Linked DNA regions of Astyanax mexicanus. The protein of the gene in region 2 purifies or fractionates together with the protein of the main gene of each other region. This does not show direct contact. Links are inferred from orthologs where the notes say so. Each region holds a gene or a part of one and is shown on either strand. Other genes may lie near its edges. The genes, in order: mafk and bach2b.

Region 1 (12,547 bases), on a different chromosome or scaffold from region 2:
CTAGTGAGTACACATCCTCAGCGACTTACAGTGAGCAGACATGTCCAAAGTGATGAGCAGCCATCCCTACGGTGCAGTGTGGGTTAAGGGCTTTGCTTAAGGGTCCAACATTCATTGGTTGTGTCCATTTTTAAAATACCAAATATTAAATGTACAGCAATTACATCCAACAAACCTACCAGACCTCTTTTGTTTTTAGAATAAATACATTAGATGTTACAGGACACCATTCCCATTAGTTTGAATAGTTTGTTTCCTGCAAACTCGGGAATATGACTGTACATATATACTACATGAATATTCAAATGAAATCTGAAAAATCAAGGTTTTTGGAGTAAGGTTTGTAAGGAGGTTAAGGTTAAGAAGTTAAAAGCAAAATGTATCATGTGCTTCAGATGAAGGCCTGCTTTTAAATAGCGTCCTAAAGTAAGCATTAACACCCCCCCCCCCTTCACCCCACCCCACTTTTGGTAACTGAGTGTAACTAAAAGCAGCCATGCGAGAAAAGAGCACTCCGCCATCTGTCTGCGCCACACCAACTCGTTACATAAAGTGTTTTTCATATTAAGCATTTTTCGATGAGGTCAGTGGAATGCTTAGTCAAGGCTCCAGATTTAAAGGCCGTGTTACGAGGGAAGTCCATAAACCTGCAGGAATATTTTGCAAATAAGCCGTTTCTCCCCAAACCGCTCTCATGCGGTTATGACTCAGTGTTTTTGAGGAAGAAAACTTCCAAAACATCGGAATCTCTCCCTCTGAACGTTAGGGTTTCACTGTGATTTACATTTCTGTTGTTTTTTCCCTCGTTTTGCAAGCTTTCCCTGTGGATAGCGCTGAAATGAGCTGTTGATCTGGATACCATGTGACGGCCAAATGTCACAGCTTTAGGGAATGATAGCGCTAGTTTAGGGAATTAGTAAGAGCGCTACTGAGATGGCACCACACCAAAGCAGAGCTCTGTGATGCCATTTTTCTTTTCATTTTTTTAGCTGCTTATAGGTTTGTGGTGGGTCAGAGACCAATGCAGGAATACCCCTTGAACAGGATGCCAGTCCATTACAGGGAACCACACATACCAATTCACTCATACACTTAGATTGCGTTTACATTACCAGGCTGAAGTGGCTCAGATATGATTTTTTTTTTGCTCAAAGTGGCTCAGATATGATTTTTTCATGGCTATTTTGGCCATTTTTTTTTTTAAATCAGATTTGATTCACTTCCATATGTGTTCCTAAATCGAATACGCACCGGATCCATGAACATGCGACATGAATGTGAATGGTCAAATTGGAATTCATGTGTTTTTTTTTGTTGTTTTTTTGCTTTTACGCATTAGCATTAGCGCTAGGTGCTTCTCTCCCATACCCACACATCTCTTGGTGCAGCTGTGCAGCTATAGCTTGAAAAAAAAAACAGCAAAAGCAAACCGCTTGACCTTTTTTCACGTCCTCACCACCTTACTCTCCACTCCAGCAAAAGATGCTCCACATATGAGCTGCTAACAAACGCATCCATTTCCCTTTATAAAGCTACAAGTCGTCTCTCAAATATGAGTTTTTTTGTTTGTTGGTGAAGAAGGTGTCGTTTATACACATATCAATGTGCCACCTGTGGCATTTAAGGGATTCAGATTCGTTCACATTACACATAGAAACAGGTCACTTCACTTATATTTGTGAATGTGAATGTGTCAATATAGCCAAATCTGATTTTAAAAAAAAAATCGGATTTGACCAATGTGGCTTTAACTAATGTGTATGTAGCATTAACCGTAGCAATTTAGCATGCACAATTCATCTAGGATTTAAAGACGTTGACTTATGGATGTATGGATGCATGTTGGCTGTATATGAGGACTAAAACCCAAGTCTGGGTTTGCCGGTTTCCAGAAGAACAGTACTTGCCAGACTGCATTGTGCCAACTGTAAAGTTTGGTTGAGGGGGGATAATGGTGCGCTGTGGACTGCTGTGGTTTCAGGCAGCAGTAGGTTTCAGGATTAGTAATGCAGTTTCAGGGTTTGGGAATGACAGACAGTTAGAGAATAAACAGAATAGCAATACTGAAACCTTACTCACTAGCTGATAAATAAAGCACTTAACATTTTATAGGCAAGTCTGCGGTCGTCCCTGCAACAATGTCAGGCAGTTATCTCCAGTCATATGAGACAAGCCTCCTATCTAGTTTGGGGCACACCAAAATACTAGGAACTGCTGGGAAACATTTTGTAACTTTTGACTCAACAATTCACAAAAAACACAATGTTTCAGCTTGTTTTGGCTACTGCACAAAAAGAGTTAAAACACACTCCCTTGATCTTGAGATTGATATTGTGTTTATCGCACAGTTACTTATCATAAAAGCACATGATGAACCAAACAGTGCAAAACCTGAAACCGATGTGAATTAGCTTAGGTACTTAAACATTCCCACAACACAACACCCAACATCCAAAACCATACATACCAACATTTCTTATTTTTCACTCTATAAGGCGCATCAGATTATAAGGCGCACTATTAATTGCAATGTCTATTTTCTGGTCTATTTTCAAACATAAGGCACACCAGATTATAAGTAACTAGTAAAAATATAGTAACTAGTAGTAGGAACGGAGTGTCACCAAGTTTTTCATCCAATTCAGCTGGTTTTGCTAGCGGTTAGTGGCTAATGCCACCCGACAGAGCTACACTGAGGAACCCACTGAGTGTTTTCCAGTAAGCCAGGGCATTATCAGCTAGCGGTTCATCCCACGTAGCTTGTTTTAACATGGTAAACACGCAGGCTTCCATCAGATATACTCGCATTTGAACAGCCAAAGAGTGCTTAGCGTGGTTAGCAGCTTAGGCTAATGCTGCTCCAACAGTGCTAGCCAGGGTTAGCAGCAGGGTACAGGCCAATAATACTCACCTCTGGACAGCCAAAGAGGTAGTACATAGCGTGCTTAGCGGCTAATGCTAATACTGCTGGAGAACTAAACTGAAACTCCTGCATATCACTGTACTTCAGTGGAGTGGCTTTACTGCTTCTTAATACCTGACTGGTAGAATTCATACATAATGTTTATAAGGATTATAATGATTTTAAGTGTGCCTATAGTGCGAAAAATACATTACTCTTATTATATTCAGAACATTAATTACAGATAAAACTTGCAATGTACCATGGGATAGGAAGCACTGTGCTTTGCTGGCCCTCCTACCGGCGCCCTTCGCCCACCAGGAGTGCCTGTAAACTCAAGCTGTAGTCTGTCTTAGAGAATAAACTCAGAAAATATTTTTCTCACACTTCAGGTTATACAACTCCAGAAATGTTCTGTGCAAAATTTGATATGGTTAATTTATCCCTTTCAACTATTCCAAAGCTGCATTTTCTGTTGATACCAATCAGGTTACCTGGTTTAGCTGTATGCTAATGCATTTTCTAGGCCCGAACAAGAAAACTCCTATTTCAGAAAAGTTCCAGAAGCTTCCTGCTGAACTGTTCTCTCTCTCAGACCCATATCTGCAAGTGTTTCCGATCATTCTGCAGCATAAAGCCACCCAAAATGCTAGCATGATTGCTCATCAGATTACTCCGCCAACCAGCTCTCCACATAGGATGTGCATGAAGCAACCCAGCACACCAGCGAGAGATTGGATCCATATGTCTCCTCGGAGGAGAATGCACGTGTGTTGAGTCACTCAGTGGCAGGACTGTTCAGCAGGAGAAGAGTATGAGCCAGCGGACTTGGCATGATGCCCTCAGCCACAGAGGATCCAGCGTACACTTACTCAGTTCCTCTGGAGGGAAGTGAGATGGCAGTTTGGTATATATTTGCTAATGGGTTCAGATCCAGGATTTGCTTGAGGAAATGTATTGCTTTAACCCTATAAGGGGTCAGGAGCCTCATTCAGTTCATAATGTATAAAAATCCTAGTGTGTAATAAGGATGTAATAAGAATACTACAGTTAAATAAAAGAGTGTAAATATAAATAAGTATATTTGCTTGTAAGTTATATTAAATGTCATGACTATTTGTAAGATACACCATGTAGAACTCTTTATACATTCAGCTCTGGAAAATGATGAGTTTCTTTGATTTTACCAAATTGAAAACCTCTGGAATATAATCAAGAGGAAGATTGATGTTCACAAGCCATCAAACCAAGCTGAACTGCTTGAATTTTTGCACCAGAAGTAAAGGCATAAAGTTATCCAAAAGCAGTGTGTAAGACTGATGGAGGAGAACATGCCAAAATGCATAAAACTGTTGATTTCTGAACTCTTAAAACTTGATAAATACGAACTTGTTTTCTTTGCATTATTTGAGGCCTGAAAGCTCTGCATCTTTTTTGTTATTTCAGCCATTTTTCTGCAAATAAATGTTCTAAATGACAATCAGTATTTGGTGGGATAACCCTGGTTTTTAATCACAATTTTCATGCATCTTGGCATCATGTTCTCCTCCACCAGTCTTACACACTGCTTTTTGATAACTTTATGCATTTACTCCTAGTGCAAAAATTCAAGCAGTTCAGTTTGGTTTGATGGTTTGTGATCATCCATCTTCCTCTTGATTATATTCCAGAGGTTTTCAATTTGGCAAAATCAAAGAAATCCATAATTTTTAAGTGGTCTCTTATTTTTTTTTCCATAGCTATATTTTATTACATGGTTTTTCAAGCATTTCAATTGATCCACTCACCATGAAATGATGACAAAATGTAAAGATAAGCTACAACCTTTACATTATACCAAAAGGTCATGAGTATAATGACATAAGGATCATAACTTTATAAGGACATACATTTATATATAGCACTTTAATGCCATAAACAACACTATGTAAACAGTGCAGATAGACTTTGGTGGTTTGCTGATGTTAGACATAGTTACAGGCTGGATTCCCCTGCCTTGTAATACGCAGCTGGTTGGAACTGTGGAATGCAGAGGCCTCAGAAATATGGCAAGCATTTCCAACAGCCATGTTATTACAGCCCTGATGCTGGTAACTACAGACAGAGGGAGCTGTTGCCTCCCTTTTTCTTTCCACTCAAACATCAGACCACACACTGCTACTATCGGTACACACACTACAGAGTGGAGCTTGGGAGTTGAGTAAGATGTGAGGACTGGAGAACTTGGCACTTTTAAGACATATAACTATCAGTAATGATTTAGACAAAGCAGAGACAGAGCAGTTTAGACGTTAATGAATCAGCCTATATGCTCATGTGTGGGTTTCAGGTGGGCATGGACTCTGAAAGAAGGGTTTGTAAGTGTGATCCTACTGGAACCTAGTTGGGCTTCCCATTGGACCCCATCATTGGACCCCACCTTAATCTTATATGGGTCCATCTAAGCCCACATGCAGTGTACAACCCAGTTGAGGCCAATGGCTGGTCTAATCATTGACCCTTGTGGGCATCTATCTATATGTGGGGCAAACATGGAACTTGTGGACTAAATTCAAAGGCCCATTACATTACATTTGGCAGATGCTTTTGTCCAAAGCGACTTACAATAATTATGTACATTTAGTAATAAATGACATAGAAGTTCAAGGTAACAAAGAAAAATTAAGACCGGGCATAAAGAAGGCCAAATGGAAATACTGTGATAGAGGAGGGAAGGAGGGGAAGAAATGAATTAAAGAAATTGCCCCCCAGATGCTTTAAACTTTGTTCCATCACAACGAAGCATTTTGTCTTGTATCATCAAATAGACTGGTCCCACTTTAAAATAATACTACCTTTATAAAGGGTTTATAAATGGTTTACTAATAGTTTATAAACAGTTACTTCTTAGGTTGTAAGTGCCTTAAAATCATTAATAATCAGTAATAACACATACGTCGAAGGGCCAACAAAATAGATAGCTGTGGGTTCACTATTTAACAAACAACAGGTCATTGTTGCCCTTTCTATGTATGTGTTATAACTGATTATTAATGATTTTAAGGCATTTACAAACTAATTAGTAACCATCAATAAACTAATTGTAAACCATTTATAAACCCTTTATAAAGGTAGTCTTATTTTAAAGTGGTACCAATAGACTTTATCCCATTGTGAGGGCTCCTATTCGGCACCGCATAATATTTAATCCACTGGTGTGGCACCTAGGAAAACCCTATTCAGGGCAGCATCCCATTGTCATCCTATTTTCTGTACCATTTTCTACTGAAAGGGCAGAAGGAAACGCATAGATGGGTATTATTAAGACACATTATTAAAATGTCTTGATGCTTTCCACCTTCATGATGCTGCACAGCCGCCGGTGGTTAAATCGCCTACACCCTCAGTTGATCAGACCATTTGATTATACTCCTTTATAATAATGGCATTATGCCTAAAATGTTACAATTTTAATAACTTTTCAACATGAACCTTCACTGAACTAATCTCCACGATTCCTGACTCATCGCCAATTGGTAAGTGATGAGAATTTTACTATAATATGAAGTTTACGTCTTATTAATAAAGGCTATAGACTATAAATTTAAATTTTTTAAAGTTTTTTTCATTATTTAAAATGTTCTGCATTGTAGATTAATACTAATATCATCCAAACTATGAAGAAAAACATATGGAATTATTATTTAGCAAACATTATTTTTCCCATTTTCTCCCCAATTTTGCACAGCCAATTACCCATCCCATTTATTAGGACTCCTGCTATCACTAGTAATGCCCCAACTCACCAGGAGGGTAAAGACCAGCACATGCCTCCTCCCATACGTGTGAAGTCAGCCACCGCTTCTTTTCGAGCTGCTGCTGATGCAGCATTACCGAGTAGCACCACAGCACGCTCGGAGAAAAGCGCAGCAACTAGGTTCCGCTACATCAGCTCACAGACGCCCTGTGCTGCAGACATCACCGTTTTAGTGATGCGGGGAGAGAGCGCCATCTACTCACCCGGGGGGAAGCAAGGCCAATTGTGCTCCCTCTGAGCGCTGGCAGCTTGATGGCAAAAACAAAAGAAGTGTTAAACAAACCAGAATATGTTTTATATTATAGATTCTCATTTTCTCAATCAGCTGTGCAGAACTTGTCAAGAGTTAATCACTTGAATTTCTTGTCTCTTAATGTGTTTGAGAGCATTAGTTGTAAAGTTGTGAAGAGATAGAGTTACAGGTATACAGTGAATAACCCTATTTGAGTGTATATGTTCTAATCCATACTATGGCTGGAACTAAAGTACTCTCAAGTAAATTTGTACAGACCAAAGTTAAATAAATGTAATGATGGAAGTGGCACTCATCAGGACCGCCCTGGGAGAAAGTTTTCTATATGAATCCTTATGTGTTTCTACATAGTTTTCTGTGCTTTTTATTATTATAAGTCTTATTATAAGCTATGTAATTATTATAAGCTATGTAATCTCATTGGTCAGCTCTCTCTATCTCTCCCGCTCTCTCTCTGAAAGAATTCACCAGCTGCGTCTATTTCTGGCCTCCCCTCGCCGTCGTCCGTTTTTTTCCCGCCTGTCTGACGTCAGCAGAAAGTTATTTTCATGAATGGAGGGGGCGGTCACGAGGAGCTGGTGACGCGCGTGCTTGCGGAAGCGCGGAGTGGAATGTTGGTTACACTGTTGTTGTTTTTGTAGTTTAGCGTTGTGTAGTTGGCGGCTCCGTTTCTCGGCTCGGCTGCGGGACACACGCTCGGAGCCCCCAGGTCCGCGACCGGCCACGGAGACGCGCGCCTGCTGCTGCTGGATAATAAAAAAACCCGGTGTTTGGGAGTGCGCGCTCCCGGCGAGGAATTCCGCGCTCACGAGGTAAGAGGCGGTGAACGCGCGTTGCCCGCACGAGCTCGGGGACACGCTTTAAAAATTCCTGCTGGAATCGCGGAGGAATCTGCGCCTTATTACTAGATGCGTGCGATCCAGGTTCAGAAAGTGGAAGATTCGCTTCGGGGTTTCGTTTCGACCGCCTGGGCGACTGCGCTGTAGCTCGGCTGCAGCGGAGCCGCCCAGGCGGTCGAAACGAAATCACGGTGCGAATCATACACTTTCTGAACCTGGATTACCAACATATAACTAATACAGCGCAAAACAGCTGTATTAACCTTTTATAAAGTATCCCACACCTTTATATATTGTTTTTATTCCTTTTATCATCACTTCCAACATTTTAACACGGGTATATTTAGATTTATTATAGGTTTATAGCTGTTATATTAGTATAAAACTAACTAACAACAATAATAAGGTATTATAATAGTAATGTGGACACGTGCGTCTGTGTGTGTGTGTGTGTGGTGTGTGTATGTGTGTAAACGACAAGCAAGCAATAAAACAAGCAAGCAAAGCGTTATACAGACTAGCATATATAGTTTACTTTTGTTTTTATTTTTTACTTTATTAAATAAAAAAAAGGTTTTAGGTTTTAATGTCTTCTTGACATCATGATTATGGAGCTAATACAATTTTTAATATAGTGTTTTCTTGTTTAAAAAAATACACAATTTAATCTAGTGTCATGTTTGAGCATGTTTTGACTCAATGTACTTCGCATTTACTGGTTAAAATTCTTTATGTAGTCTAAAATAAGGTTGTAATTGAGTGTTTATCACGATGTTGACCTGTTTTATCATGCGTTTACTGTTTAAAATCCGTACTTAGTCAAAAAAAGAGAGGTCGTAGTTCGATTAGTATCCCACGTGTAAGCACTATGTTGACGTAATGGAGTATTTATTTTGTATTTATTTCAGTGTACCGATTGTAATTCGTTTTTTAAGTGTGTATTTATCCTAATATAAAGTTGTAATGGACTTATATTATAGCACGATTATGACATTTAAGCATGATTTCTATAAATATAGTTTACACGTTCTTATTTGTATTATTTAATCGTAAGTTTACATTTAAGCAAGTTTTTTGGCTTTAAAATTCATTTTAGTCTAATTGGAGGTCGTAATTTGTTATTATCTCATATTTGATCACGATTTTAGATGTTGCATAGTTGCATTTTATTGTTTGTAGTTTGTATTACTGTATTTATTATTAATATTGTATTATTTATTCGTTATCTCACTTTTTAAGCATGGTTTTGACGTGATGTGAGGCGATTTTCTTGTTAAAATATAAAAAGTAGCCTACTATAAGGTTGTTTTTAAGTGTTTTGACAGTTATCTAAAATTGTAGCATGATTCCGACGTCAAATAATATGTATTTCTCTTTAAAATCCACATTTACTCTAATTGGAGGTCGTAATTTATTGTTATCTCATATTTGATCGCGATTTTAGATGTTGCATAGTTTGCATTTTCTTGTTTGGAGTTTGTATTATTGTATTTACTGTATTTGTTATGAGTATTGTATTATTTAATCGTTATATCACCTTTTGAGCATGTTTTTGACGTGATGTAAGTTGTGTTTTCTTCTTAAAATGTGTATTTAGCCTAATATAAGGTTCTAATTGACTGTTTTGGCAGTTATCTCGTATTATAGCACGTCATATTTTGATATTTCTCTTTAGAATTCATATTTAGTCTTAATAAAAGCTCGTAATATATTGTTTAATTGTTTTTTTTTATCTCTTTTAAACACGTTTTTGACCTAACATTTTAGCTGCGTGTTTTTGTTATTTATCTCTTTTATACGTAACTATTCTCTGTAACGTTAAGTAAATTACTTATCTAACGTTACGACATGAGGAGAAACAGAGCACGTGGTGTGTGTCCTGTAGGATTTGTGGGACAAAGGGCGCTGTGGTCAGCTCCTGATCTTACCCCGCTCCTCCGGGCACATCTAACATCACACAGTGTGACACATTAAAGCGCGCGCTAGCGCGAGGTAAACACCGCGTTATTCCTCCACGCTGTTTGCGTAGCTACGCTGCGCTGCGCTCTGTAGTGGCCAGACGCTGGGCAGAGTTCAGGGTGACGTCATGCCAGAGATGTGGGAGTGAGCGCGTGTTTTTCGCTCGCTTACGAAAAAAAAGGTCATTAACGCAGCCCCGCGTTTCCCAAAGCTATCACAGGGAAACGTTAGAACAGCGCCTTTAAGAAGAAGAGGCTTCCAGGAAGGGTTAGTAAATCTGTAAAGCTACAGAAATAACGTTCCAGGAATGCTTTGAAGTCGTGTGACGTAATAGTAAAAGTGTCCATCACTTTCCAACATTGTTAGAACGTTTCCCACACAAAAGCGTCCCAATACAATGTAATAAATGTGGCATTAACACAGTCATATAAACCCTGTTTATAAAAAAAAAAAAAAAAAAAAATATATATATATATATATATATATATATATATATATATATATATATATATATATATATATATATATATATATATATATATAACTTGTTATCTTCCGTTATTTTTTGAAATATGCGTATGAAATCTGAAAAGAAATAAGACCATTCTGAACATCTGGAAAATACAAATGTAACTTTTTTGTTATAACATTTAGTAAATCATTGTAGAGTGAGGCAGAGCAAGGTAGAATGAAGTAGAAAGAGGTAGAATGAGGTAGAGTGAGGTACAATAAAGTAGAGAGAGGTAGAGTGAGGTAATAATGAAAGAGAGGCAGAATAAAGTAGAGAGAGGTAGAGTGAGGTAGAAATAAGTTGATTCACAAACTGAAAGTTTTTAGCCATAACGTTTAGAAAGACATTTGGACAGGGAACAATGTGTGAGGAATGTTGTAATAACATTTTAATAACATTCAATAACATTTTATAGCATGATGCAGACCATTAATTATTACAATTAATTATTACATCACACTTTTTTAAAGAAAATTCCTGGAACATTATTTCTATAACATTTCAGTCTAACCTTAACAGAACTTTTTAAACACATCGCTGAACATTCTAGTGCTAAGCAATATTACCTCAAATTATTCTTACCATTATTTAATTGCATAAGAAAAATTAATGCGATTGGAGGTTGGCCAGTTATGACAATTGTATTAATGACTAGAAGTACAATATATTAAAATTACCTCAATCATTTTTCCTGATCTCGATATTACTGATTATGTTTTTCTACCTGACTCTACCTCACTTTACCTACTCTGCCTAACTCTACCTTAAACTGCATCACTCTGAAGATCACTTTGCCTCATTCTACCTCACTCTGCATCACTTTACCTTGCTCTTTTTCCCTCTTTCTTACTCCACTTTGTTCTGCCTCACGCTACCTGTAACTGCCTAATTTTACACCTCACTTTGTCTGCCTCAAACTTTGCCTGCCTCTTTCTCCTTCCTTTACTTTGCCTCATTCTACCTTGCTCTACCTCACTGTACTTAACTCTCTGCCTTATTCTGCCTTGCTGTACCTCAAACTGCCTCAATCTGCATCACTTCACCCCACTCTTTCTCATTCTCCTTACTCTACTTTGCCTCATTCTACCTTGCTCTACCTCACTGTACTTCACTCTGCCTCATTTTGCCTTGCTGTACCTCAAACTGCCTCAATCTGCATCACTTCACCCCACTCTCTCATTCCCCTATACTTTACTTTGCCTCATTCTACCTTACTCTACCTCACTGTACTTTACTCTGCCTCATTCTACCTTGCTCTGCCTCAAACTGCATCACTTTACCCCACTCTTTCTCATTCTCCTTACTCTACTTTGCTCTAAGTCTTGCTACCTGCTCTACCTCAATCCACTTTGCTCTGCCTCTGCTCTACTCCTCACTCTACTCCTAATTATACCTCACTCTGACTTCATTCTACTTTGCTCTATATTAAACTGCCTCAATCTGCATCGCACTACACCTCGCTCTACCTCACTTTACTTTGCTCTGCCTCACTCTTTTACACTACCCTAATGTACCTTGCTCCGCCTTGCTCAGCCTCACTCTACCTCCAGCCTCGTTATGTCACATGAACACAGTCTGCCGCCTGTAGAGCTCCCTCTGTTGCTGCATGTGGATAAACACAGTTTGAGGTTGCTGTTATTCATGACGATATCACAGCTTGTTTGATTTAATTAATTATTCATAAAAAAACTCATATCACGGAAGCAGTATTATTAAAATACTAGTTATATTATAGCCACAGTAGGGAATTGGAGGGTTTGACCTTTTTGCATTAATTGTTTAGTCTAACCCATAACATTCTCTGTAAATTGTGCTATTAATATCAGTATTAATATTATTAATACTGTATTAATATGGTGCTGTTTCTGTTCTATATGTGTCCCCTTATTTTACTGTATCTCATTGAGCCCTGCTAGAATGTTCCTGAGTGTGCAGTCAGTTAATCTGCAGACTGTTCACATTCAGGAACATTGGACAATAGTCCATTTTGTGGGGTGGCGAGAGTACTAGAGCTACGCCCTCGTAGGAAAAGTGAGTCATGAGTGGATAATGTGATTCATTTCCACATGTGATTATATTAAAAAAAGGAGAGTTGTCATTAGAACCTTCAAAGGGAGTTCTTTCTTTCTGTTACTCTCTAATGCCGAGTGTCAGGAACAGACTGGGTATGTTATGTCTGAAACATGATCATTTATGGAGAATTTAAAAAGGGTCACTATTCACTTGCATTCACTTACATTCAGTGGAGGGCTGCTCTTCTCTCCAGCTTTGGTGTTTAGTCAGTATC
Region 2 (12,124 bases):
AACTAGTTAGTATGTTCACACACAAACTGGCTTAACTAACTGTAATTGTGTGTGTAGTGTGAACTGTGTGGCAAAATATTGATTTTATATCAGATGCTTATCCAACATAACTGTTCATAACTTCATTGAGCAGGGATCAAACAGTCATGAAAAACCTGGAAAAGTCATGGATAAGTTTTGGAAAAATAAAAATACCCAGAGAGTTTTGGAAAAGTCATTGAAATTAGGTTCAACAAATCTTTGTGTTTCCATTCAATAATTTTAAGCTTACACAATGGAGCTCTCAGGATCTGCCACACATTTTTTTTATTAAATATTGTTTGTCAACATTCTTATCAGAGTCATTTTGGACCTACTATATTATTCATTTTAATTATAGTTTTAGTTGATTTTTAGTTTTATTGTTCATGTCTGCACTGATGCTTTAAAAATCGTATGGTCAAAGAAAATTTGCCTTGAACACATGGAAAATTCATGACAAAATAATGGAAATTTTTTGGTTAAAATGTGTATGAACCCTGAGTGAGTGTATAAACTCATCACCCACAAGGAATTAAGCATCAAAAGTGAAATGTGGTGGGTAGTTGTGCTAGACAATCATGTAGAGTGACTCAGAATCATCTGTAGTGACAAGTGTTGCTTCTTTCTTTGAGGAAACATCCAACAAGTTTATGCGTGGAGGAACTGTGGTCTGTGCTATAATGCGCCAACACAACAATGCTCATCCACATGCTGAAGATTCAACATCTAAGCCTAAAGACATAGACACTTTGCCACAAACTCTGCTGGAACTGTATGAATATTAAAGTTGCACAGGATGTACTATCGAAGCACACCATTAAGAACCTCTACTACGACTACAAACCACAATGTCTGTCATAATATGTATAGAATTTATTATTTGTACAGTCATACACATACAGTATGAATGATATGGGATACATTTTTACTATCATTGTATATAAATAAACACTAAATGTGTGCAAGTGTGTGCGGCGCAGGGCACTGCACACACAGCTGGTCCTGGCAGTGATAATAGCGTCTGGTTCCGAGTGGTGACTGATGATGCCAATGGGCATGAGTGTCATCCTAACACAACGTAAGAGAGGAACAACAAAAGCCCTGTCTGAACTTCAGGAGCTTCGCACACACAGCGCACACACAGCACACACACTCTCGCTCCCTCTCTCTCTGTCAAAATCTGGAGCTCAGTCAAACATGCCATTGTGCTGACGTGGGATGGCTATGGGAACATGTTTTCATACCCTAGGCTTGTGTTCTGAAAGAGCGCTGGTGGGCTTATTCAAACAAGCAGGACAGGACAAAAACCATGCCTTTAGCTAGCATTTACAGCTGCACCACACTCCTCTGAACTTTACCACCGCACTGTCCGGTGCAAAAACAAGCTTCATTAAAATATGCATTATTTTTTGTGTGAATCTAACATGCAACGTGGAGATGGAACTAAAGATAAGACACAAGCACTGAGCACTGTCGACGTGGAACTCACACCACTGCTCTCCTACATGCAGTCATTCACTGTACGGAAATTCAAACATCAGCTGTCAGACGGAGGCAAACAGTACAGTGTGTTCTAAATCTAAACAATGTCCACTTTCCTTGCAATACCTTAATATATATATTTTTATATATTTTTATAGATGTTTGCATTTATAACATGAATATCAATTATCAGTTGTTGAGCGCTGGTTACAGATTGCACAAAGAATAGCACAAAAGCAAACACACTCTTAGCTCCTTTACACAGATGGACAGTGGAAAGGCAAAAAAATAAATAAATGCTCTGTGTAATGACAGTAAGCTCTCCCTAGGTAGGCACCTGCCAGTCTGTGATGAAACATAATGTAGGATATAGGACATATGGGACATACAGGCACTTACAATAAAGAAATAAAGGAGGTAAAAAACAGGTTATGTGCAGTTTTATTACATGTGAATGAAATAAATGAGGTAAAACACTGTTGTGGAAAAACTCAGTTTTTGCTGTATTTTACTTTTTTACTTTTTTTTCTTTTTTACAGTCGGACAGCTGTTCTCATCAATGTATATTTCATGAAGAATGGACCAATATGATGAAATGCTCCAAAATGATTTGTAATAAAATCTTTTTTTTTTACACTTCCACAGATACACGTGTATCTAAAGGTTCATCGGTTCATGAACAATAAACCTGACGCCAAAGTATGAACATAAGACTCACCCACAAAACGTTTACATTAAAACGTTCATAAAACCTCTTTATAGAACAAATTAAGCAGTTTTATTGTATAATTCTAAGATACTCCTCCTATTATAGGATATATAACTGTGTGTTGGTGAATTTATGAAAAATAAAACATAACGGGGATTGAGTTCCGTCTCTCTGCGCTGAGCAGACAAAGGAATGCAGGCTGGAACGCGCTGTATCTTTTTTCTCCACCTGTTTTCAGACAAATCCCGCCACCTGGGCTTCGATTGGAGGGATGGCAGTGATTTCGGCCAATCACAGCGCTGTATGCAAATACGAGCGCTCGAAAGTACCAAGAGTACCGGACATTAGCCAATTGGGGCACGTAGTGGGCGGGGCCTCTGCGGAAAACAGGTGGTGGCGGGGTGGAAACAACAAGGCAGCGTAAAATGCTGCATCACCGCATTGGTGAGGGAGGAGAAGGAGGAGGGGGAGGGGGAGGGGGGTGCACAGTTTTGGATGGGAGCAGAATTTCTTACAGCACCAAACAGCTCTCGTAGAAACGTGTTTCCCCCAGACTGTTCAAACACGGGCTCGCGCTTAATCGGATCAAATCGCGACAAGAAGATCGCTAGCGAGCATTGTATTAGCATAGCAGATGCTCCTGAAGCTTACGGGAGCGCGCGCGCGTGTGTGTGTGATAACTAAAGGCTAACGCGGGCTAATGTTACATTCATACATCCTCCCAGCTGAAGACAAAGCCAAGTCATTCATAACCAGCGAGCTCACGGCTCTCACAGCCAGCAGCCAAAAACACAACGGGGGGTGTTCTGTCGATTTGTGCTACCCATCGATTTGTGTTACTTAGCAGCTCGGCGCATGCGCTAATTCTCATTTTTATTACTATTTTCACGTGTTTTGGGTGCATTATACAATCTGAGATCACTGCCTTTTTTTGCTTGAGTGAGATATTTTTTACAACCGTGTAAAGTAATAATTATGCTAATATAAACATAACAAAAATAACTATAGAATGGCTTCCAATTACATGTATTGCCTTAATTCTACTCTGATACAACGATTTAGGCTATTCCAATATCAAATCGACACTTTTACAGCGAGACTATTCGAAAATATTATTAGGATATAGTATTTCTTTTTACCTTTAAATACACTAGGGTAGCACGGTTTGACAAGGTAGCACAACTCGACAACACACCGGCGCTGTATTTACAGAGAGACGAAGCGCTTTCATCAATGAAACCGAATTAAAACGACACGTCATCTGAAAGTCGAAGGTTTAATTTGACCACTATGATAATAAGATGACTTGTTTGTTTACAACCAAGTCCACGCTCCAGTCCACGCTGACTCCCACAACTCCAGCGCAACCTATTCCTAAACTGATCTCCAGTCAGTGATCATTCAGCTCAGATTCCACGCCTCAGTTATCAGGAAACATGCGATACTGATTTCGGTGTTTTCAATGTTTGTTTGGTGTGAGTAACATTTCTATAGAGAGACCGAGAGTGTGGAAAAGCGGACTCTGCTGCTTTAAATGGCACCCTCGGGCAGCAGGGCTGCTGCTGCAGCCCCCCTTACACAGCAGATATTTCTGCTGATATTTGTGTGGATTAATGGAGGGGGGGGGGAGGGGGCGGGGGGGGGGGGGGGTGTTGTAATGCGGTGGCTCCGGGTTGGAGAGCGTGTGTGTGTGTGTGGATGGCAGAACAAAGCCAGCCGGCGGAGAGCTGCTTTTCTGCAGCAGCAGGATAAGCACATTCCCACAGCACAGGACTGCTGCTGCTGCTTTTCACTGGGATACTCTTGCGAAAACAAAAGTGACACGACGGGCTGATCCCTCCATGTGCACAGAATACAGCAGCCCTCATTATCATTAATGATGATGATAATAAAACAGTTAAACAGCAGCGCTACAATAACAGCAGCAGTAGTAACTGACTTAACTGACTGAGTTACTGACTGTAACAATACTAGTGGCAATAATAATAGTAATAACAATAATAATAATAAAAAATATATATATATATATTAAGTTTCGTGAAAATAAGATGAATAGTAGCAGGCTATTACTAATAAGAATAGTAATAGTAATGCACGTGGCAGTAGTAACAATAATAAGAAAAAGAAGATCCAAAATATTACCACTACTAATACTACTACTAATAATAGTAACACTAGTAGTAATAGCAGCTTCAGAGAAAATAACAGTAGCAGTAGTGGTTATAATAGCAGGTTATCAATAGAATCATCAATAATGGTAATGGTAATAATAAAAATAATAATAATGATATAATACAGTAGGTTTCGTGACAATATCAATACAATAGTAGCAGTATTGGCTATAGTAGCAGGCTATTAATGATAACAATAGTAACAGTAATGCACGTGGTAGTAATAATAATAATAATAAAAAGAAGATGATGAAGAAGAGTACTACTATTACTATTACTAATAGCAGTACTAGTAGTAGGAGAAGGTTCAGACAAAAAATAACTGTAGAAGTAGTGGTTATAATAATAGCAAGTTATCAATAGTAACACCAGTAAGGGTTGTGGTTATAATAACAATAATAATAATAATAATAATAATAATAATAATAATAATAATAATAATAATAATAATACAATTAATAATAATAATAATAATAATAATACATGATATTACTTTTCTTTAAAATACTTATTATTAAAAAAACATTTTAAAAATAATAAATAAATGATGATGATAATAATAAGCCGGAAAAGGGTGAACTAGACCCCCGAAGAAAGGGAGTGGGGGGGTTGGTCCGTCTCTGTGTGTGTGCCACTTGGTCGGTCAAGGCTTCCGCGAGTGACAGCTTCTGTTCCCTTCACGAAAACAAGGGCCATGCCTGACACCCCCACCACCCCCACCCCTCCTCCTAAAGCCCCTCAAACCCCTCCACCCTTCCTCCTCCTCCTCCTCCGGGATGGCAACGCATCCAACTCCTGCTCAAAAACAGGCAGCCGGCCGCTCGAGCTCAGCACAACAGGATGCGGCCACGTCCCACGGCGCGCGCTCCTCGTTCACGTGCACCGTGCTTGGTCAGGGTGGTCAGTGCAATGCATGAAGACACGGTTCCCTTCGCTCTACTCCGAAACTCGACCACCCCCTCCTCTCTTTCTCTCACTTACTCTCTATCCTACTCTCTCTCTCTCCTGCAAAAAGCACGAGTTTCTAACTGCATTTCTGCACGAGGCGATATAAGCAGCGACTAGAGCTCGAGCTGAGTGAAGTGCAGAACCACAAACAAAAAAGACAGAGACAGAACACGCCAGTCGAGTCCACTTACCTTCAACTTCCCTCTGTTTTTCTCTCGTAATCCAGCCCGTTCGTGCGCGTGCTTCAAAAAAAATCAATGTCTTTCACATGATGACTTCCTTGCAGACTCCTCTAAAGCCTCCTCGTGCAGGAAGATCAAAGCCTGCACTCTTTCTCTCTCTATCTCTCTCTTCGCAGAGTCAAGTTTGGGAACAGAAGACCCCTCAGCGTGCACGCGCGCGCGTTTTTGTGAATCTCTCTGTTGATGTGCAAGAGTGTGTGTATGTGAGTGTGCATACGAGTGCGCGCGCGTGTGTGCGTGTGTGTGTGCGCGCGCGCGGTGATTCCGTTCAGCGTGCAGCTCCTCGTCTCCTGTGTTTGGTACTGAAGCTCTACGCCTCCCCTGCTCTCTCTCTCTCTCTCTCTCTCTCTCTCACTCCGCTACCGTTGTTGACATTCGCCAAATGACGTCACCTCCCCCTGCCCTCATTCACACACATACACACAATAAAGCAGCGCGCGCGCGCCTGCGCCAGCCCCCCCCCCCCCCCCCCAATATAAACAAACAATTCACCGAATAAATAAATAAATAAACACATAAACATGTGGCCGGTGGGCCGGTGCGCGCGCACAGCGGAGTGAGGAGGACGCGGCGTGTTTTTCTGAATCGACAGTTCAGTTCACTACAGCGACACGACCCGGGGGGCGCGCCAAAACCAGCGAGACAACACGCGCGCGCAAACCCGCTTAGAGAATCAGCGTTACGGAGCAGCGCTGACGTTAACTTACTACCCCTGTCAGACTCACAGATTACCCTAGTAATAATAATAATAATAATAATAATAATAATAATAATAATAACAATTTGCATTTTAAAAAATAAGCATAAAATCCATACAAACATTGTTTGTATAATATTACCATATTATACGAAAATAACTATATCATACAGTAACACAACATTTACTATTCGTATAGTACAATGAAAAAGTAAAAATAATAATACAAAATAATAATTGATATTTGAAATAAACAAATAATTCATACATAAGCATACTTATTTTATCATAATTGTTATTATTTAAATGCTAGGAATAGTATACGGTACTGTACTATATAACAGGACACCACCATAATTATTTGTAATTATTTTTAATAAAAACAATATCAAAGTATTATTATTATTATTATTATTATTATTATTATTATTATTATTATTTTATCTATTATCAATTACAGTTATATTGACTGTGATTATTGTTATAAAGAATAAATTTAATATTTTTTATTTGAACATTATGGCTGTCCTTATTTAATTTCTAAATTGTTAGCTGTTTTTGACTGTAAATAACAACAATAAATGATGGGTTGTTACAACAGTGGATAAAAACAATATTAATCAATTAAAATGTTTATTTTAGTTCTGATTACTAGTTATACTGACTATAATTGTTACTGTGATTTATATGGAAATTACAGCTGTTTTTATTATTATATTTAAAATTGACCTGCTGCAGAATCTAGCCCCAGACCAACTTTCGTTGGTAGCTGGTTTCAGATAGTCTATGCTGGTCACCTAGGTGAAAACATATTATATGCTAGAACGCTAGACCACTTAGGAGTATATAGAGTATATATTGCATTTGATTTTGGTCATGCTTGGCCATGGAGGTCAAGCTGGTTAAAAAGCTTGGTCATGTTGGTCATACTGGTCAACCAGTTTGATTTTGTTGGTCAACCAGCTTGGTGATGCAGGCCAGGCTGTTTAACTAGTATTGTTAAGCTTGATCATACTAGTTGTCTAGTGTGGTCAGATTGATCAGACTTACAAATATACAGTACTACGCATTTAAAACCATAATGTTTACTAATGTTCATCTGTTCTTTTTACAACAATGAAGAAAAACAATGTGATAGAGGAGGTACATATGTGTGGGTCTGTGTGTCTGAGTACAGTCTTCTCAACACAGCCTGGCTTTGTTCTGAAGCAGCCCACACAGCACAGCCGCTCTGGGTGGGAAGAGTTTCATTTAGAGGGGAGAGCTCTTCCCCTGGGGAGTCTGCACAGAGTCTGCACTTGGAGCATTCATACAGGAGTGTATGTGTGTGTGAGAGAGTGTGCTTTTCTGAGCTAAAGTGTCCTCTTACTGTTAAGAGGTATGACTTATTCTGCTATTCTGAAAAGTGTGATATTGAGTGGAAAGTTATTTTCTATTTATGGTTAACTGTTTAAATCTAAATTCTACTAATTAATACCCAAAGGATCCAGACACCCCTTCTAATGAGTTCAGATATTGTTCAAATGCAAAATTTAACATCTTATTTAATCTTCATAGGGTGCTGTCAATAGAATGGGGCACTCTGGAGGAGCCCAACCACACAATGACCAATGCTGTGCAAGGGCTAGAGGGTTAAATGCCTCCAGCCTTGTTCTGTGGAACAGTGAAACTGTATTATCTGAAGCGACAGAGCTCCATTGAGTTCCCTTAGCAGGAGTTGGAGTGGCATCTGTGATCAAGAACTAATGTAAAATCAATACTTGACTTCACTTAAGATCTATTGGCTCAATGCAATCAAATGCTTTAAAGCAGTGTTCAAAAATCTAGTGCAAAGCCTTCTTGGAACAGTGTAGAACACTTATTGACAAAACAATTGATAGTTGAATGTAATAATGATATTTACAAACACAAGCACAAGGATACGGGGAAAAGTATGGAAAATGTACAATTTTAAAAGCTATTAGTACACGTTTTGGTGCCTCTAAGCTGGAAACAAGATAAGCAATTTTCCACCAACGTAGAACCGTTTTGGCTACAAACCTAATTTTTAACTGTTTTGCTGCATTTTCACCAACAAAAGTAGATTCCAGAACCAGGAACATTAATTTTTAGCAGGAATCAGTAATACTAGGTTCTTCAGTGCGAATCGTGACTGCTTCTGTTCACCGCCGCTGTGCAACACCCTCTGTTGTGAACGTATGTTGTGACGTTTTGATGGTTCCACTAAAACTGGTGGAGCACTAAGGCTGGTTCGCTGAAAAGCACCACGGTTCTTTTGGTGGAAAAGCACTAGATAAGATATAATTGGGCATAGAGACATACAGATTATATATGGCATTGTGCAGCACTCTTGCCCGCAGATGTTGCAGCTGGCCCTGTAGACCCTGCTCTACACTTGCTAGTTGCCAATGCTGGTGTTCCAGCTGGTCACATAAAGGCTAAAATGGTAATAAATCTGACGACTGAACAGAACCTGGAGTTCAGGTTTCTTGTTCCTGCCATCACTGAACATAAAGTTGATAGTGGCTGGCTAAATTATGGCCTAGATTTCATTTAATTTGATCGCAATGTTCGAGTCATGGTGCTCTGGGAGCTCTCTCCCCTCATTACTTCCAGTGTGATGCTGGCTGGCACAGGCATCTGATGGCTAGTGTATTAAAGCTGGGGATCTGGTGCTTTCTACTGAAGGTTCTGACTACCTAGTGATATTTCAAAAAGAGACGGTTGCTGACTTTGCATGTACTGGAGGTGGAATGTATTAGTCTTTCTAAAAAGGGACATTTTTAATGTTTTAATTTTTAATCTTAATGGAGGTCATTTTATTATTACCTTTTTGTGATTTAGAAGAAAAACACTGTGTGCATAAGCAGCAACCACTTACACACTTTTACCGCACTGCACACACCCCATATTCCAAACCCAACACACATACACATAGATGGACAGTTGAAGTGGCATTCCTGCACTCTCTGACCTTTCCTTCAGGGAATTCTGTCAGGGGCCCGGAGAGACTGGAGGGCCGGAGGACAAAAACAGATCCATACATGTGTGTGTGAGAAAGAGAGAGAGAGAGAAAGAAAGAGAGAGAGACAGTGGGAAAAAAACATAAGGAGAGTACTGTGCTATACATATTCATTTCTAGTTCCCAGAGGAGCCACATTTTAACCCTTGATCTCAACCATACTTAATAACTGTCCATTAAAGTGAACCAAACTTGCAGTAAAATAAAAGACAGTTTCGGCACCTTTATTTATTTATTTATTTATTTATTTATTTTATTTTTTTTACAAAATACACTGTTAAGGTTTTAATTTTTTTAAATATATACAAAAGAGAGCAACTATAGTTATGAGACAAAGAACCATAGCAATTGCTCTAGACTATACAGAACACTTGGAACATCGTAGTGCATCCATCCAACGCATTATGGGGCTATAACTCCGCCCACAGCTGTATGCATTTTAATAAACTTGTATATATGGATTAAATATGTATGTCTAACATATAATTGTAACATATAATACCATATAAACATAAATCCAATAGATATTTATAATATATGTACATATACACATTTTTATGGATAGAACATGGGCCAGATAAAAAATGTAATATTTCTATGTTTGAAACTAGTTTATCTACTTACTGTAGAAAGCTAAAATGTATCTTTTTTATTAATTTGGTTCTTCCGATCCTAAATGGCTGTCAGGGTGCGGGCAGGAAGGACGAGGAGAGCGGATGCAAATGCGAGTGAATTTATTACACAAATAACAAAAGACAAAAATAAACAAATAAACTGAAACTAAACTGAAAACAAGAAATATGGGAAACAGAGACGCAACCATAACAGGCTAACAAAGCACAAGAACCGACACGAGGGAAAGGGAGCACGGACTATAAATAGTGTAACACACACGGGAAACAGAAAACACCTGGGGCTAAGGGGCGGAGTTACAAATGAACACAGGTGAGGGCAAGAAACACTGAGGAACACGGATCACGTGGGAGACACACTCACAGTCACAAGCAGAGACAGGCACAGAAAAGGTAAATAAACACAGAAACACGAGAACAGACAGGGACCACGTGACAATGGCAAGAATAATTTTTAAATGTTAAAATAAACTGCTGTCCCCATATGAGGACATTGTTTTTTTTGTTTTTGTTTTTTTTCGGCAAAATACAAAGTTTAGTTTTTATACTTTTTAGGTCCTACTAATCCTAAATAACTATGAGAAATGAAAATGCACACCAAACAAAAATCAAATGCTAACACTAATGTTTAGGGTAGTAACAAACATAATATATTATATTTTAGTGTGTAAACATTTTCTATATAAAATTTCCCCCCACATAAATTTAATCCCATAGAAAATCTTTACAAACTAAAATGTTTCATGTCCACTTTAATGCTCTTTTCTGCATTAATGTTGCATAGATAGATAAATATATATATATATATATATATATATATATATATATATATATATATATATATATATATATATATATATAGATAGATAGATAGATAGATAGATAGATAGAATTAGGCAGACAGATAGATAACTTATTAATCCCTAAGAAGAATTTTAGAAAAAAAATATATCATATATAAAAAAAAATATCATATTGTAACATCTGCACTGTTACACTAATAGCATGGGTGTGTTAAGGCAGGTCATCGTGTGCATGTGCTGTTGTTTCCCGCCCACCATGGTGGACAAACACTTGCATTTTTATGTGAAGAAGTGTAATTAAGGGTAATGCAAACAGCATTCACTGTGTCTGAGGTTTAGAGAGAGAGAGAGAGAGAGAGAGAGAGAGAGAAAGAAAGAGAGAGGTCAGACAGACAGAGACAGATGCACTTCCACACACAAGGAACATCACTGGCCAACTGACCTCTTGCTTAAAAGACTTGTGCAACACACCCTCAAATACTAGATGTGTAACACAGTGCCAATGCCTGGATCTGAATCAGTGCTCACACAACATGTCCAATTCTGTGTTGTTGGAGTTAAACTGGAAGTTGGTGTAGCTTAAACCTGAGATTTGTAATATTTTAGTTACTTAAACTTCACAAATACTGTAAAATCTTCAGGAACTGTGTGAGAATATTTAAGCTGCTTGATATTGATTATCACAGGGCGCCATTAGGAACCTCTACAACTCCATGCACAGATATCTGACATTTTTCATTGGATTTTTGCTTGGTGTGCATTTTAATTTATCCTAGCTGTTTAGGATTAGTAAGACCTAAAAAGTATAGAAAATTAAATTTTGTCTTTGTACACAAAGTAGTTTTGCCCCCCCCCCCCCCACCCCCCCCAAAAAAAAACAATGTCCTTATATGGGCAGTTTATTTTAACATTTAAAAATTATTTTTGCCATTTAGGATCAGAAAAAAAACAATATTTAAGATTTCTACAGTAATTAAATTAACTAGTTTTAAACTTAAAAATATTTGTTTTTATCTGGCCCAAGTTTCTGTTCATAAAAAGTGTATATATAGATATATTATAAATACCTATTGGATTTATGTTCATATGGTATTATATACTGATTATGCATTGCAGTCTAAATTAATTAATTCTGGGCTAAATTCACATTACAAACCTCATTAAACAAATTGAGATTTTTGCTCAGATCAGACTATATCATTCATAAATATATGTGATTTGTATCTGCGATATGTGAAATAATCTGGTAATTTTAATGTACCCAGAAGAAAAAAAAAAACTTTTAAATGTGTCCCTCTGACTGGATGTCCCAGAGTGAGAGGACATGTAGAAACTTGTGCACTTGTGAATGTGAAACATCACCCAGTCATCACTTTTCTATTTTTTTTATCTCACAA

The links.
Region 1: the proteins of bach2b (region 2) and mafk purify together in Homo sapiens (co-immunoprecipitation; 3 studies listed by BioGRID and IntAct, with this or other methods). This does not show direct contact. The link is inferred for Astyanax mexicanus from reciprocal best matches to the Homo sapiens genes BACH2 and MAFK.

What each region holds. Positions count from the first base shown.
Region 1 is NC_064410.1:57,363,590-57,376,136, reverse strand, and holds the start of mafk (transcription factor MafK), read left to right. Parts: upstream 1-7,542; 5' UTR 7,543-7,763; intron 7,764-12,547. UniProt on the Homo sapiens protein: Since they lack a putative transactivation domain, the small Mafs behave as transcriptional repressors when they dimerize among themselves.
Region 2 is NC_064408.1:47,686,682-47,698,805, forward strand, and holds the start of bach2b (transcription regulator protein BACH2), read right to left. Parts: upstream 5,887-12,124; 5' UTR 5,523-5,886; intron 1-5,522. UniProt on the Homo sapiens protein: Transcriptional regulator that acts as a repressor or activator. Binds to Maf recognition elements (MARE). Plays an important role in coordinating transcription activation and repression by MAFK.